Linked DNA regions of Bombyx mori. The protein of the gene in region 1 interacts with the protein of each later gene in a biochemical or structural test. Links are inferred from orthologs where the notes say so. Each region holds a gene or a part of one and is shown on either strand. Other genes may lie near its edges.

What was found. The genes of interacting proteins can lie anywhere in the genome.
Region 2: of the proteins of nucleosomal histone kinase 1 (region 1) and barrier-to-autointegration factor B, one has a biochemical effect on the other in vitro, tested with the Caenorhabditis elegans proteins (2 studies listed by BioGRID). The link is inferred for Bombyx mori from reciprocal best matches to the Caenorhabditis elegans genes vrk-1 and baf-1.

The regions. Positions count from the first base shown.
Region 1 is NC_085109.1:14,104,303-14,111,877, forward strand, and holds part of nucleosomal histone kinase 1, read right to left. Parts: 5' UTR 7,437-7,575; coding exon 7,218-7,436; intron 5,499-7,217; coding exon 5,429-5,498; intron 4,630-5,428; coding exon 4,433-4,629; intron 3,531-4,432; coding exon 3,314-3,530; intron 2,771-3,313; coding exon 2,597-2,770; intron 1,850-2,596; coding exon 1,188-1,849; 3' UTR 1-1,187. UniProt on the Caenorhabditis elegans protein: Serine/threonine kinase that phosphorylates baf-1, thus regulating the association of baf-1 with chromatin and nuclear membrane proteins during nuclear envelope formation. May act through the egl-17 signaling pathway.
Region 2 is NC_085118.1:10,678,691-10,686,358, reverse strand, and holds barrier-to-autointegration factor B, read right to left. Parts: upstream 4,148-7,668; 5' UTR 3,962-4,147; coding exon 3,836-3,961; intron 3,001-3,835; coding exon 2,854-3,000; 3' UTR 2,749-2,853; downstream 1-2,748. Other genes in the region: syntaxin 5A, read left to right, coding at 1,286-1,744. UniProt on the Caenorhabditis elegans protein: DNA-binding protein which plays an essential role in nuclear envelope formation. Required for normal chromosome segregation during mitosis. Associates with the nuclear lamina via its interaction with LEM domain containing proteins emr-1 and lem-2.

The DNA of each region.
Region 1 (7,575 bases):
AATGAAAACACTAAATCTCTATACTAAAGATGAGTCGTCTATTATCAAAGGTGGCAATCTGTGCATTTGGACAAAAAAATGTTATTGATATGTCAATACAGATTGATTTGAATATAATCGTCTCCTTCAAAGAATACGGTTCAAAACCTGCATTAAATAAAGGTTAATAGTTAACCTGTTATTTATCTAAGATGTCGTTCCGAAGAGTTTTGTGACTGCCAATGGAATACAAAGTCAATAATTCGTTTTTCTGATTTACCAATAATTGTCCAAAAGTCACATTGCCGGCTTTGATAATAGTCGACTCAGATATAGTAGCTACATGAAAATGAATTAGTATAACAATATTTTTTTAAATGATATAATTTTTTTTTGTTGAACCAGGAAATATATACAAAAAGCACAAAACAATTACACACAGAAATTACTTTTGCGAAAACTAGATCCGACATTGCATTCATTAAAGTCTATAGTGAACATTATTTAAATTGCTAGTACGCGTTAATAATGTTAAAAACGATACAAAGTGACGCAGCGAAACAATTTTTAACATAAGGGATGTGATAATGTACATCAGACTTTATTTTCTAGGAATTTAAAACAATTTTTTTTTTGTATAAAGTAAGTACACAAAAGATTACAATAACATTTCATTTAAAACATAAATTCAAACATTCGAAATACTGACAACTTAATTAAAATGAAATATACTAACAACGATATGTATGCTACATAACAGCAAACAACACATTAACGTTTTAAAAAAGGGATATGAATATCTGGTAGACTCACATACCAGAAATATCTTTAGTAATCCAGAGTAATTATTCTATTGCATTATATCAAAGAGAAAAACTACAGTCAACATTCGTAGCAGCAGGAACTGTCTCCTGTATAGGTTTGTTAGAAACAGATGTGAAGGTTCTTACATGTTGTATTTAATACTTAAAAATTTAAGTCTTATTAATTATTATTTTTAACAAATAACTTTGTATATTGCAATGTAATAAAAGATAACATTTTAAGGACATTTCAAAAAAATGCACAATTTTTGGTTCAATGTTACGTGACAATCTGCTCTTGTACATTTCTTAAGCATGACTCAGTATTATCTGTCTTCATATAAAAATACCACATCGGTGTTGTCTTTCTGAAACTGTCCCTAAAACCCTTTCAACACGAGTGGTTTATGTGGGGGGCGATCGTCCGTTGACGACGGTAGGCGCGTCCTTCCAGGACCTGCCCTTCTTCACAACTCTCTTTCTAACGACCTTTTTAATAGTGACATGCTCATCGGTTACTACTTTCCTTGGACGTTTAACCTTCCTCTCTTCAATAACGAATGAATCATCAAATATATCACCACTTGAATTCACTGAACTTTTTTCACCGATCACTTCACTGATTGGACTGTCGAAAGAGACTTGTCTGCCTTTAGCCTTTTCAACGGAGGTCTGTGTCGCGATGTTCGCGTGATTTTTCTTGGTCGGAGGCGTGGCCTTCGGCGCTAGTCTGGTCTTTTTAACTTTGACTACTAAAGCAGGTTCGGTGGATTTCCTTTTTGTTTGTCTGATGTTTGTAATTTTTTCTGGTCCGTCAGCAACCGTATCAGTGGTGACTTTGGTGAGCTTGCCTCTCCGCTTAGTCACTTTGTTCTCTTTGAGGCTGTCGTCCTCGCTGTCTTGTGTTCTTGTTTTCGGTTTTTTCTTTGGTGTAAATTCTAGTTTACTTGTTTTTGTTTTCCCTTCCTTTTTGAGGTAAGTTTCGAAGAGTTGCCGACATTTCGCGTAATCTGGTATTTGTTTGGGCTCCAATGTGTTTATGTACTCAAAGAATTTTATTAGAGCATCTGAAAAATTATAGGTAAAGTTGTATATTTTCATATCGAAGTAGAATTGGATTAAGTTAGATTTATTTAGAAGTCATCATGGTCTAAAGGTTAAGACGTCCGGTATCTAGCGTGGCAACGGTGTTCGAATCCCGGTAGCGGGTACCAATTTTTCCAATAAAATAATTACTTAATAAATGTTCATGATTGACTTCCATGGTGAAGGAATAACATCGTGTAATAAAAATTAAGTAAGGCAGCTGCTGTAATGCAATAACTAAGACACAGAACTCATGTTTAAAAGGGGGGGGGGCTTTGTCATTGTAGATGTTTATGGGTTCCAGTCACCACTAATCACCAGGTGGACCATAAGCTTGTCCAACCAATTAACCAATAAAAAAACCTTGGTACTAATCATGTTAATTGAGCAGGGCTGGTGGACGCCAAATACAAAAATAAATGCAGAGTGGAGAGATTACTCTATCACTTACATTTGGATTACATTACAACTTTGTGACTGAAACAGGTCAGATGTTGTACTTATTCATTCCCGTTGAATAATTACTAAAATTTTATAAATTGTTCATTGCATTAAATTTTAGGAAGAGGCATACCTAAGAAAAAATGGATGGATTGCTTGAAATACGATATGTGTAAGAGGGGAGTGAGCGAAGAAATGGTATATGATGGAGAAGCATGGAAAAAGAATACATGTTTGCTGACCCCAGGTGACTGGGAGAAGGGCAGGAGAATCATGATTAAACATACCGGGAACATCATGGTACTGTTTTGTGATGTTGGCTTTCACGTTTTTCATGAAGGCTTCTTTCAATGTTTGAACAGTACGAGGTTCTTTCAATGATTTTTCCCATGGCAGTTCCCCTGTTATCCACTGCAGCATGTTGTAGCCCAAAATCTCTAGATCACCACGCATCGTCGGTACTAAAATATAAATTTATGCAGATATGATGATGAACTGATGTACAGTTTGCAGTAATTGTAAAATGTACGAAACATTCCAAGTTTTTATTCATGTCTCGATCAGTGAAGTAAATTTTTTCATGTCTTCCAGGTGTCCACTACACTGCCCACTTGGTGAGTTCATTATCTCAACCCAGACACCATTACGTCAATGACGCCGATTGCTTTAAGGCATAAGGTAGAGCTCATAAATTCTGAATGCATAACTGCTCAGTGGTGGAAATGGAGAATAGTGGTCTCAATCTGTGCATGCTCAGCAGTATATATTTGGGCTCTAATGTGATTATGTACTTAAGAATTTTAGAATAGAAAAATTATGCTTAGTGTATGTAAAGAGCAGGCATATGGGTATGCCCTGTCACTAGTACAGCCACCATTCCAAATAGGTTGACATTTCGATTTGAGATATGAAGACACAGCAACATTCTAGTCCATTACGTCAATGTACTAGAGAAACCAAAATATAAGAGGATCATCATCTCATTAAAAAATAACAGCACTCACCACCTAAGTGTGCATCACGACTTGTGTACTCAATAGTTCCATTATGGGCAGATTTAGGGTCTGGTTTGAACTCTTTGTCATTGACCCGAGAAGCCAATCCAAAGTCTACGAGGTAAGCTTGGTGTTCTTTCCCTTTCTTCAATCCCATCAGAATATTAGCTCCTTTGATGTCAGCGTGAACATAGCCCCGATTATGTATGTACTCTAATATGTCTAGCTGATAAACAAATTTTTAGGGTTAAGAAAAAATACTACAACTGCCTGCCAAATAACTCTCATGTTTATGATGTAGGGACTAGGGTATCATAAGCCTTGAAGAAATTAGTGGCAGCCATGTGTTAACATATGATGCAGTTTGCTGGTACAAAGTCACCTGGACTGACTAGATAGTGCAATAGCACACTGGTCATATTTAGGCAGATTTAAACTAATCATCTGTGCAATTAAAGCTCGGGTTACTCTATTGCTCTGAATAGTAAACTTCATTATTATAGATAAGTGACTAATATTAAAAAAAAGTAATGTTTAAAAAAAAAAGACATGCCCGCTGAGTTTCTTGCCAATTCTTCTCAGGGCGGAGGCTAGTTTTTGTGAATTGGATGTTGAATAAAATTTTTTTGATTTGATTTGATTTGATGGTAGGGTTTTTTGTGACCCTACACAGATAAATACCACCACCATACTTATTTCTGCTGTGAAGCAGTATTGGGTTTCAGTTTGAAAAATGGGGCAGCTGCAGAACTATAACACTGAGAACATTGAAACTTTCTGGGTGGAATGTGAGCTCACCTACCCTTATAAGCAAATCCAAAAAATTGGTCTTAATATTTTAAATGTAGAATGTGTACGCTAGGTATGCTATCTCATTTATAGGTATAGGTTTAAACACATGGATTGAGCTTAAATCATCACACTATGAACCTGTATTGATCAATATGATAATATGGCTGTCTGCTAGTACTGAAATTAAGACTTAGTACTACTTTATCAGATGTCACTAGATTGCATTAAGGTCTATGGTAATCTTATAATCATTTAGGACCAGAATCATGAACTTGGCTTGCCACCTACAGATACTAATAAGTTTTCATCACTAAATAAAATATTAGTATTACTAACCATTTGTGATCCTAATTGGAAGACTGCAGTCGGTGAGAATAACCTCTGACTCTCCAGGAAAATGCTCCAAATGTCTTTACCATATCTTTCTAATATAAGGTACCTGTACTTTTCACCTTTGTACATGTGAGAGCCGCTGCCAAAATGAGTCGGCATTCCAAGGCTCGTTAGTTTCCTTTCCTTCATAAACTGTGAAACTGAAATGGTATAGGGCGGTATGGGTGAATTAACTCATTGCAAAAGTGATTTCAACTAGTCCTCCCCTGTAGTCCCACCTCTACTGGTGGTAGGACCTCTTGTGAGTCTGCGCGGGTAGGTACCACCACCCTGCCTATTTCTGCCGTGAAGCAGTAATGCGTTTCGGTTTGAAGGATGGGGTGGCGGTCGTAACTATACTTGAGACCTTAGAACTTTTATCTCAAGGTGGGTGGCGCATTTACGTCGTAGATGTCTATGGGCTCCAGTAACCACTTAACACCAGGTGGGCTGTGAGCTCGTCCACCCATGTAAGCAAAAAAAAAAGTTACCAGAGCCTATAAGCATGACAATGTGAATGCTACCAAGTGATGGTATCTTGTGGGTACAAGACACATTTCACAGTGTCAATTATATTGTAGAAGCTAATTTAAATATCAAACTGGACAAATAACTGCTTCACACCAGGAATAGGCAGGATGGTTAGGCAGGCATTTTATTCCTATTTATCTGCCTCTAGCCTCAAGCTATTCTGGCTTCGCCTTGGTTGGACGGTAAACTCACCCACCAGGTTGGAATTTGACCCACTGCACTGCGAGAAGATCCACAGTCAAACAAGCTGGGTTTTGTCTGTGTGTGCCATATTACTAATAGAATTTTTATAGTAAGGACTTCTAAACATCAGAGCAAAATGCCACCCCTCAACTCAAAGCTTTATGCACAAATCTCTAGTGGCCTTTAGAGGTCAATAAAATCAACCTTTTTATTAAAATTTCATTAGTACATTTGACAAATACCTACTATCATCTTTGTTGGCATTTCTAAGGTAAAAGTGTTTCTCAACAAACAAGGGTCCATTCTCATGAGGTTCCTGTAACAAGATTGTATTTCACAAAATATATTTATAGTCGGATTTTTTATTAGACGAAATAACTGACGTTTACTGTGTTGTCAGTTTTTGATGAAATAAAAATAGTGTTGTGACAAAGTGAACGATTGAAAAAACTCCTGAATTAATGAAATTGCCTCGATTGTCTAGTGAATAGTTAGTGTGCCGAACTGCCGATATCGGGCACGGGGTTCGAATTTTAGTCGTGCTTTGTACATACCAACGAGTTTTCGACGAAACATTATGTTCCTATGGTATCTACCTGTACTGAATACCGAGTGTTTTAAACATTAAGAAAAACATTGCGAGGAAGCTTGTAAGACTGTCCTATTTCCAATGCATCATATAGTTGAAACTATAGATGTATAAAATATAACAATTATAGGTACATAGGTAATGAAAATAAAAAAAACTGATTGTAGTTACATACTACTAGTAACATATTATTATATTGGATCACTTTAATACAATTTTATTGTAAAATATAAATAATATTCTTTTATAGTTTGAAATTAATGATTAACTCTTCACACTCATTGTTCATTTATGTGATTGAACGAGAACTGAACGCATCACTATTACTTTAAATATAGCAACATTATTTCACAAAGTGACATTAGCTACTGTCAGCTGGCTTCGTCTAATTAAAAATCCGACTATAGTTTAACATCAAAATATATGCAGATTTATATATTCAGCAGTAATTTTACAGTTTTAAGTGGTTTTAGTCATTTGCATGTTGAGAGGCTGAATATTCTAAGGTGCACCTTGAAATGGTATTGAATTGTATTGATTGAAATTACAAATATAAATTTATTAATTTCAATTTGCATGTCATTGAACTTTTTTATTGAAAGCCATAATAAATTCTATATCTACTAAATCGATACAGTCGAGAGATACAATCCCAACAAGAATGTGAAAACACTCAACAGCATGTAAATGATATACTTGAGTTTTTATGATTATAGCAGTAAGATGAAAAGATTTGCAGTTCCTCACTTACACACCAGGTCATCTAGTAATATTATTTTCTAAATCTTTGACTTAACAGTTTGCATTATTGCAGAATCATTCCTTGGTAGTTTTCTTAAATCTATGAACAGGTAGTACTAGAATATTTGTGAGATTTTGTAATGTATTGGTGTAGAGTAATATTTACCTATTTTGCATAGAAATATATTAATACAATTTGAATATTGTACGGTTTGTCCGCACAACCCTCTACTGTGATAATGATAACAACTCCAATACTGATTAATTGTTTATTGATACGAGTATGCTGGTTATGATTATTTATATGATAACAATGACATTATGCGAGTACGCGACGCCTTGCTGATGGCGGTACACGAACTGAACGAAAATGAATGACTTTGACGTAAAATGCATCTGTATGCAATATGATGTGCGCGCTGGCCCTGTACAAATATAAAAAATACAACCAGATGCAAACAAATTCTGTATTATAATTTGAAAACGAAACCATGTTTATTTTCACTATAAGTCTGTTTGAATGCACTTAAATAAGTTTTTAGTGGCTCCTTATTTTACGATTGTTGTATGTATGATTTGGCGCGTAAAAAACTTCTTTTGTATTTAGTCTAGTTTACTTTCGTTTTTAAGTAAAAAGTAAAAAAGTGTTGGTTTATACTTATTTAATGAACAAAAAAATCAATCCATTGATCAGCAGATACTTACGATTTTGACAACATACGGGTAATTCGCATTCTTCCTGGGAGAGCCATCTTCGCAGGCAGCGTATATCTCTCCAAAGCCCCCAACGCCTACAGAAGGACCTATCCTCCATTTTTTCTTGGCCGTGGTGTCACATATTACCTCTCCGATGGGAATAGGAGCAGGCATTTTGTATCCATTTGCCTTTTTTCGCGGCGCAGCTTTCTTCCCTCGGCCCGACATTTTAAATGGAAACTTATTTTAATTTTAAATGACTCATGGAAGAAATCACTCTGGAATAAATTTATCACTAGCGATGTTTTGCAGAATTAATGAAACTAAAGTTAACTGAAAATGCAAAGTTAACGATTTTATTACTATT
Region 2 (7,668 bases), on another chromosome or scaffold:
GTCTCTGCAAGTGGATCGCTAGCTTTTTGGATGGGCGGAGCATCACGGTCGTTGTAGACGGTGACTGTTCTGATACCATGACCATTAACGCTGGCGTTCCACAAGGTTCGGTGCTCTCCCCCACGCTTTTCATCCTGTATATCAATGACATGCTGTCTATTGATAGCATGCATTGCTATGCGGATGACAGCACGGGGGATGCGCGATATATCGGCCATCAGAGTCTCTCTCGGAGCGCGGTGCAAGAGAGACGATCAAAACTTGTGTCTGAAGTGGAGAACTCTCTGGGGCGAGTCTCCGAATGGGGTGAATTGAACTTGGTTCAATTCAACCCGATAAAGACACAAGTTTGCGCGTTCACTGCGAAGAAGGACCCCTTTGTCATGGCGCCGCAATTCCAAGGAGTATCCCTGCAACCTTCCGAGAGTATTGGGATACTTGGGGTCGACATTTCGAGCGATGTCCAGTTTCGGAGTCATTTGGAAGGCAAAACCAAGTTGGCGTCTAAAATGCTGGGAGTCCTCAACAGAGCAAAGCGCTACTTCACGCCTGGACAAAGACTTTTGCTTTATAAAGCACAAGTCCGGCCTCGCGTGGAGTACTGCTCCCATCTCTGGGCCGGGACTCCCAAATACCAGCTTCTTCCATTTGACTCCATACAGAGGAGAGCCGTTCGGATTGTCGACAATCCCATTCTCACGGATCGTTTGGAGCCTCTGGGTCTGCGGAGGGATTTCGGTTCCCTCTGTATTCTGTACCGTATGTTCCATGGGGAGTGCTCTGAGGAATTGTTCGAGATGATACCGGCATCTCGTTTTTACCATCGCACCGCCCGCCACCGGAGTAGAGTTCATCCATACTACCTGGAGCCACTGCGGTCATCCACAGTGCGTTTCCAGAGATCTTTTTTGCCACGTACCATCCGGCTATGGAATGAGCTCCCCTCCACGGTGTTTCCCGAGCGCTATGACATGTCCTTCTTCAAACGAGGCTTGTGGAGAGTATTAAACGGTAGGCAGCGGCTTGGCTCTGCCCCTGGCATTGCTGAAGTCCATGGGCGACGGTAACCACTCACCATCAGGTGGGCCGTATGCTCGTCTGCCTACAAGGGCAATAAAAAAAAAAAGCCCAATTTAGTTCTTTGAAATTTTACTGATCTATATTATACTGTTCCACTTTTTTTTCGTAAAAGTTCACCATATTTTAAGTTTAGCTGTTTAATTATGAACGAAATTAAAGTCAGAAAATTTTATGATGTAATGAACTTATAAATTAATGTTTGCAGGTCTTAGAAGTTCGTTCAGAAAATTTGAAGCAACAGAACAGCAGGCGTGAACAATTTTCAAGGGTGACACCGGTTGTAAAAGAGGTACCATCTCTATTGCAACAAGATGAAGTAAGCATAGATTTGGGTGAAGCTACAAGTTTACAAGCACAGCAATTTGCATTCAGAGATGATACAGACTCATATGTACAACAGAGAGCTGAAACTATGCATAACATTGAAAGCACTATTGTGGAGTTGGGAGGCATATTTCAACAATTGGCTCATATGGTAAAAGAACAAGATGAAGCTATTGGTAGAATTGATGCAAACATTCATGAGGCAGAAATGAATGTTGAAGCTGGCCACAGAGAAATATTGAAATATTTCCAAAATGTAACTGGAAATAGGGCGTTAATGTTTAAAGTTTTTGGGGTTTTAATATTCTTTTTCATATTTTTTGTGGTGTTTATGGCTTAATAAAAAATAACTATTAAAAACTTAATTATTAATTTCAATTATTTCTTTTCCAATTTAAATGGCATCCAAGGCCCACTTCTACATATATGCATGATGTAAACATTACCCTAAACTATGATAGATGAAATTAAAATATATTTGGTAATGATTTAACTTTGCACGGCCGCCCATGGATCAGTACTACTAATAAGAGCCTAGGGGCCCTGCCGCGCTTCTGATTATCGTAATGGATGCATGGATTAATTACTGTTGCACCATTGACCTTGGTATTCCATTGTAATATTATGATGAAATGTGATGTAATGATGCATGGACTAAACTGGTGATGTTATTATCCATTTACTACAAACATATACCACATATGACATTATACTGAATGTATTCCAACCAATACCAAAAAGAAGGTAGCAATTATGAACATCTACATGATTTAAAAAACATTACATTATTTACAATTGAAATATATTGTCTAAGCTTTTTAGATATGCTATAAAATAAATAACAATTGACGCACTTCTTATTTTGATCCCTTAATAATTTACTCCTGTCTCTAACATTGCAGTAAGATATTCTGTAATGATGCATTCTGCACTGAACGAATATATTTCTGCTATTCCAATGAAAGTTAATGATTTTCATTGAGATTAACTCAATGAAAATTACTGCACCCACTCAATACTGTGATGCTTATTGGCATCTAAACATTAGGTGAGTGATATCATATGGTTATGCAAATATAGGTCATAAAAATGACGCACTTCTTAGAAAAGTAGACATTCTAAGAAATAGCTTAATAAAGTAAAATAGTTGAAAAACATTATGAGAACATATATTTGATTCTTTTGCAAAATATTTGGATTACTATTTATTGTTTTATAAATAAATTCAAGTCATTGTCATAAATAACAGAAGACTTCGTGTTTTTCCAGCAAAGATTATATTTAATTACTCTTAATTGGGACTTTATTTCTTCAACATTTTTAAATATTAAATAATACAAATAATTATTGTAGAACATATATTTTACTTATGTAGTCTTAAAATTACATTATGTACATTATTTCAAACAATGCAATAATAAAATATAATAAATGTTATATGGATAAAAATTACAAAAACTCATCACACCAATCCTTCAAACACTGATAACAATCTGCTGACTGTTTAGAGTTTGCACTGCAGGCGTCCTTCATCCATTCTTGAAATAACTCTTTATCTTTCTTTAGTACCAAAAATTGACCCAAGACGACATAGGCCTGAAAATGGTAAGTGTTATTTTATGATACATAATATAGTAAATGAGAAAAATAAAAAGGGAACAAATGTAATTATATTATATACTAGCTGACCCGGCAGAATTCGTAGTGCCTCAATCGATGAATAAAATACATTCTTATTTTTATTTAATTCCGAGCATTTTCATATTTATCTACCTTTTAAACCTTCTCTGGACTTCCACAAATACTCCAAGACCAAAATTAGCCAAATCAGTCCAGCTGTTCTCAAGTTAGCGAGACTAACGAACAGCAATTCATTTATATATATAGATTTTGGTATTAAAACTGTTATCTTGCTAGTAATTTTAATGAAAATTGCATCCAAAATCTGAAGACTATGTAAGAATGAATTAATCTTGGCATTTTCACGAAACTAATACATTTCACATTAGGGTAACTAACACTAGTTTAATGCAGAAACATTACTGCTTTGTAGTTGTTCTTGATTTATCTTTTTTTAACACCTAGGTATACATGTAATTGGTCATCTTGGAGGGCAAGGAAGCTAAGCAACATTTTTTTTAAAGATTTTATTCCATAATTGATTACTGCTTAATAACAACATTCTTTATACGATTTCTATCACAATTAATCTATGCAGGATTTAATTTAACTCTTAATGAAATAGTACTGAAATTTATTCTCAAGTTTAAAACACCTGCTTAAAGATATTGCATTAAACAGTTTTCCGAGCAGTATATATATGTAAAGATCAATTTTCAATTTGATAAGATTATTTTAAAACATTTAGGATCACTTGAGCATTGATGAAACATACAAAAGCTGCACTTTTGAGATAAAATTATACTGTAACCTTATCGAAGCCCCCGGTTTCAAGTCGTTTTCCTAAAACTTCACCCACGCCCGCCAATTCTGTTACTGGTTTCTCACCCATTGGCTCAGCAACAAAGTTTCTATGTTTTTGTGATGTACTCGACATTTTCGTAAAAAACTTTGTTTATTGTACTTATAGAAAGAAACAAATTTTATATTTGTCTATCTTTACGAAGTTTATTAGTTTTTTTGTGTATTTTGTTGTCATAAACTTAATTAAGTGTACCCTGTGTACCTATCTCGAATATATTAAGTGTATAATCTATGGTACCTATGTTTATGTATTATCTATGGACTTTTTGGCGGGAACGCGAGGAGTGAAGTTGTGTGATTTGTTTTATTTTGTCTATTTAGTGTTTCTTCAGGTTTAAATGTGTAATAATGGTGGTTTATTAACTGTTTGATATCTGTGAAAGTGCACAAATGTGGGAAAATGAAACAAAGCTGCTGGACGTAACTTCTCGGGTTCCTCCAAAAAGTCCACTGAAAAAATCTCAGTAAATGACCACCATTTTACTGCGATTATATCTCATCCCATATCATCTCATTTCATTAAATTTCATCCCAGTTGATTAATGTTTCAAATTAATCATCTTCATTTCATTTCACTCCATATTATCATTTTTCATAAAATTAAGAATATAAAGTAAAATAAGACATGACTTAAAGGTCTTAGTTACCAGGTCATAAAATCTCTTAAAAAAAAATTTATTATCTATGGGACTTTTTGGCGGGAACGCGAGCAGTGAAGTTGTGTGATTTGTTTTATTTTGTCTATTTAGTGTTTCTTCAGGTTTAAATGTGTAATAACGGTGGTTTATTAACTGTTTAATATCTGTGAAAGTGCACAAATGTGGGAAAATGAAACAAAGCTGCTGGACGTAACTTCTCGGGTTCCTCCAAAAAGTCCACTGAAAAAATCTCAGTAAATGACCACCATTTTACTGCGATTATATTTCATCCCATATCATCTCATTTCATTAAATTTCATCCCAGTTGATTAATGTCTCAAATTAATCATCTTCATTTCATTTCACTCCATATTATCATTTTTCATAAAATTAAGAATATAAAGTAAAATAAGACATGACTTAAAGGTCTTAGTTACCAGGTCATAAAATCTCTTAAAAAAAAAAATGTATTATCTATGCTTTGTTATTTATTTTATTTCACGATTGGACTGGCAACGGGAACCTAGGCTTTTGTAATAAGGGTTAAAATATGAAATTGCCTTTTTGTTGTAATAGGTACTTCGAATTAACAAAGAGCCTTCATGGTTTGAGATTTTTGAGTAAAACTGTTGGAATTTCTATTTAACCGTCCAACAAAAACTTTTTACAAATGGTATGGTACCTATGAGGTTCTTCTTTTAAAAAAAGTGCAAGATTCGGTTAAAGACTTTCAGTTGTTTTTTTTATTCAGCTTAGACAAGAAAGATGGATACTTCGAAAATTCGAATGATTTTTGAATAAAAGATCCGACGCGGAACTAACGCTGCCGAAACAGCTCGCAATGTCAATGTTGCGTTTGGAGAGATGCCTGTGATATGAATTAAAATAGTATGTAAGATAATATTGTTGTTTTATTTGCATTCAACCATTATAATTTTATGAAACATTACGTTCATATTAAAATCAATACACCAGAATATTAATGACAGAAATGTTTTTAAAAACAAACGCTTATTAATGGCCAGTATGTATAATTTCGTGCAAGTAGGTTACGTTAGCTCTTCAACAGACTGCTAATGGACGCACCGTGCGATTTTGGTTTAATCGCTTTTAAGATGGAAATTTTGATTTGAAGAACGAACCACGTAGAAGACCGTCCACACGTGTGAATAATAATGAATTGAAAGAGATACATAGTGGAAGCCGATCCGAGCCAAACTACCCAGGAATTAGCGGCATGGTTTAACGTTAGTTACCTTAACAACAATATTGACTCATTTGCGTCAAATCAATAAAATAAAAAAATTCCTATGAAAAATGGGTGCCGCATGATTTGACTGATCTGCAGAAAGAAAGGCATGTTGAAACTTGTGTTGCCTTGTTGAATCGATACAGAAATGAAGGAATATTGGATCGAATTGTGACATGTGATGAAAAGTGGATTCTATATTCTACTCTAATTCCTAAATACTCATACAATAATATCATTATCGTCATCATCATATTCAGCCCACAGTCGTGCACTACAGGACATAGGCCCTATGACATGAATTTAATAGTTTTAAACTACTTATAGGTTGAAGCCTTTTTACCTAGATGTGGTAACCGCTTTTTTGTTGCCAGAACCTGTTTGTTTAAATACATCGATGGAAAAGTCAATCTATTATTACATGTAAGCTACAATGTAATGTTAAATTAAAAAAAAAATGTTCTCGTAATTAGAGAGTATTGATTGAATATTAAATTTTCTTATGAGATAGTACTCAAACGAAGTTAGACGGATGCAGGGTGGCGCATTTAACTCGGAGCGCATCTCGCTTTGCTATGATATCACACGGGTTGTCATCCTTAACGACTATCTGAAATCCACGGGTATGGCAACGACATGAAAGGAAAGTTTTAAGTTCTTAAAAAAAAAAAAATTGCTTAGATGGGTGGACCATCTCACAGCCCACCAGGTGGTAAGTGGTTACCGGAGTCCATAGACATCAACAACGTAAATGCTGCCACTCACCATGAAATATGAGTTTTAAGTCTCAATTCTTCAGTACAACGGCGGACGCATGCTTCAAACCGAAACGAATTACTGCTTCATGGCCGATATAGGCCGGGTCATGGTACATACCTACTCGTGCGCATTCACAAGGTGCCCTATCACATAACTATGCATCTTTTAATTTTTGTGAGTTTGCTTTTTATTTCTTATTGTTATTCCTCCACTGTGGAAGTCAATTATGAACACTTCTTATATACATACACACTTACGTATTTCATTACAAAAATTCGTACCTGTTTGCGGGATTCACAGTTGCAGCGTTTGATACGAATGCATCGGGAATCATATCACACTTCAAGAACCAAGAACTCCAAGACTAATGGCTTTATACCTTTTGTATCAGATGTACGAACGGAACAAATAAAGCAAAAGATAATTTCGACTCGTGCGGATTTTCAATTGTGGAACGCTAGAACTCAAGGAATGAAGTTGTATAAATTGTTATTGTTAGAACTGAACTTCTTACTATTTGTAACCATCATAAGTCAGTATATATATCCGAAGATTATTTTTATTACTTTATTAAATGTTAGTTTTATAGTCATTTAATTTAACGTTTCTTCAAGTTTAAATGTGTTATAAAGGTGGTTTCTTAACTGTTTGGTATTTGTGAAAGTACGCAAATGTGAGGAAATAAAACAAAACTGCCGGATGTAGCTTCTCGGGTTCTTCCAAAAGTCTGGTTATCATTTTTCATGAAATTGAATATACAAAAGATTAAGAGAGAGAGAGAGAGTATTCTTTATTGTACACCAAAAAACAAATACACAGTGCGATACATTAAAAACAAAAAAGTACAATTGGCGGTCTTATCGCTAAGAGCGATCTCTTCCAGACAACCATCAGGTGGACAAGAATCATTTGGAAACGAACTACGCGCGGTGTACCATTCCAGTGAAATACATATACATATATGTACACATACATATACACATACATATCTCCGTAAATATACATACAATCAATACAAAGTATTATAATATAATAATAATTATTAAAAATAAAAAATAAATAAAAATTAAATAATTAAATTTAAAAAAAATTAAGCTGTATGGGATGATACTTTCGCCTTTCCAGTAGAAAAAT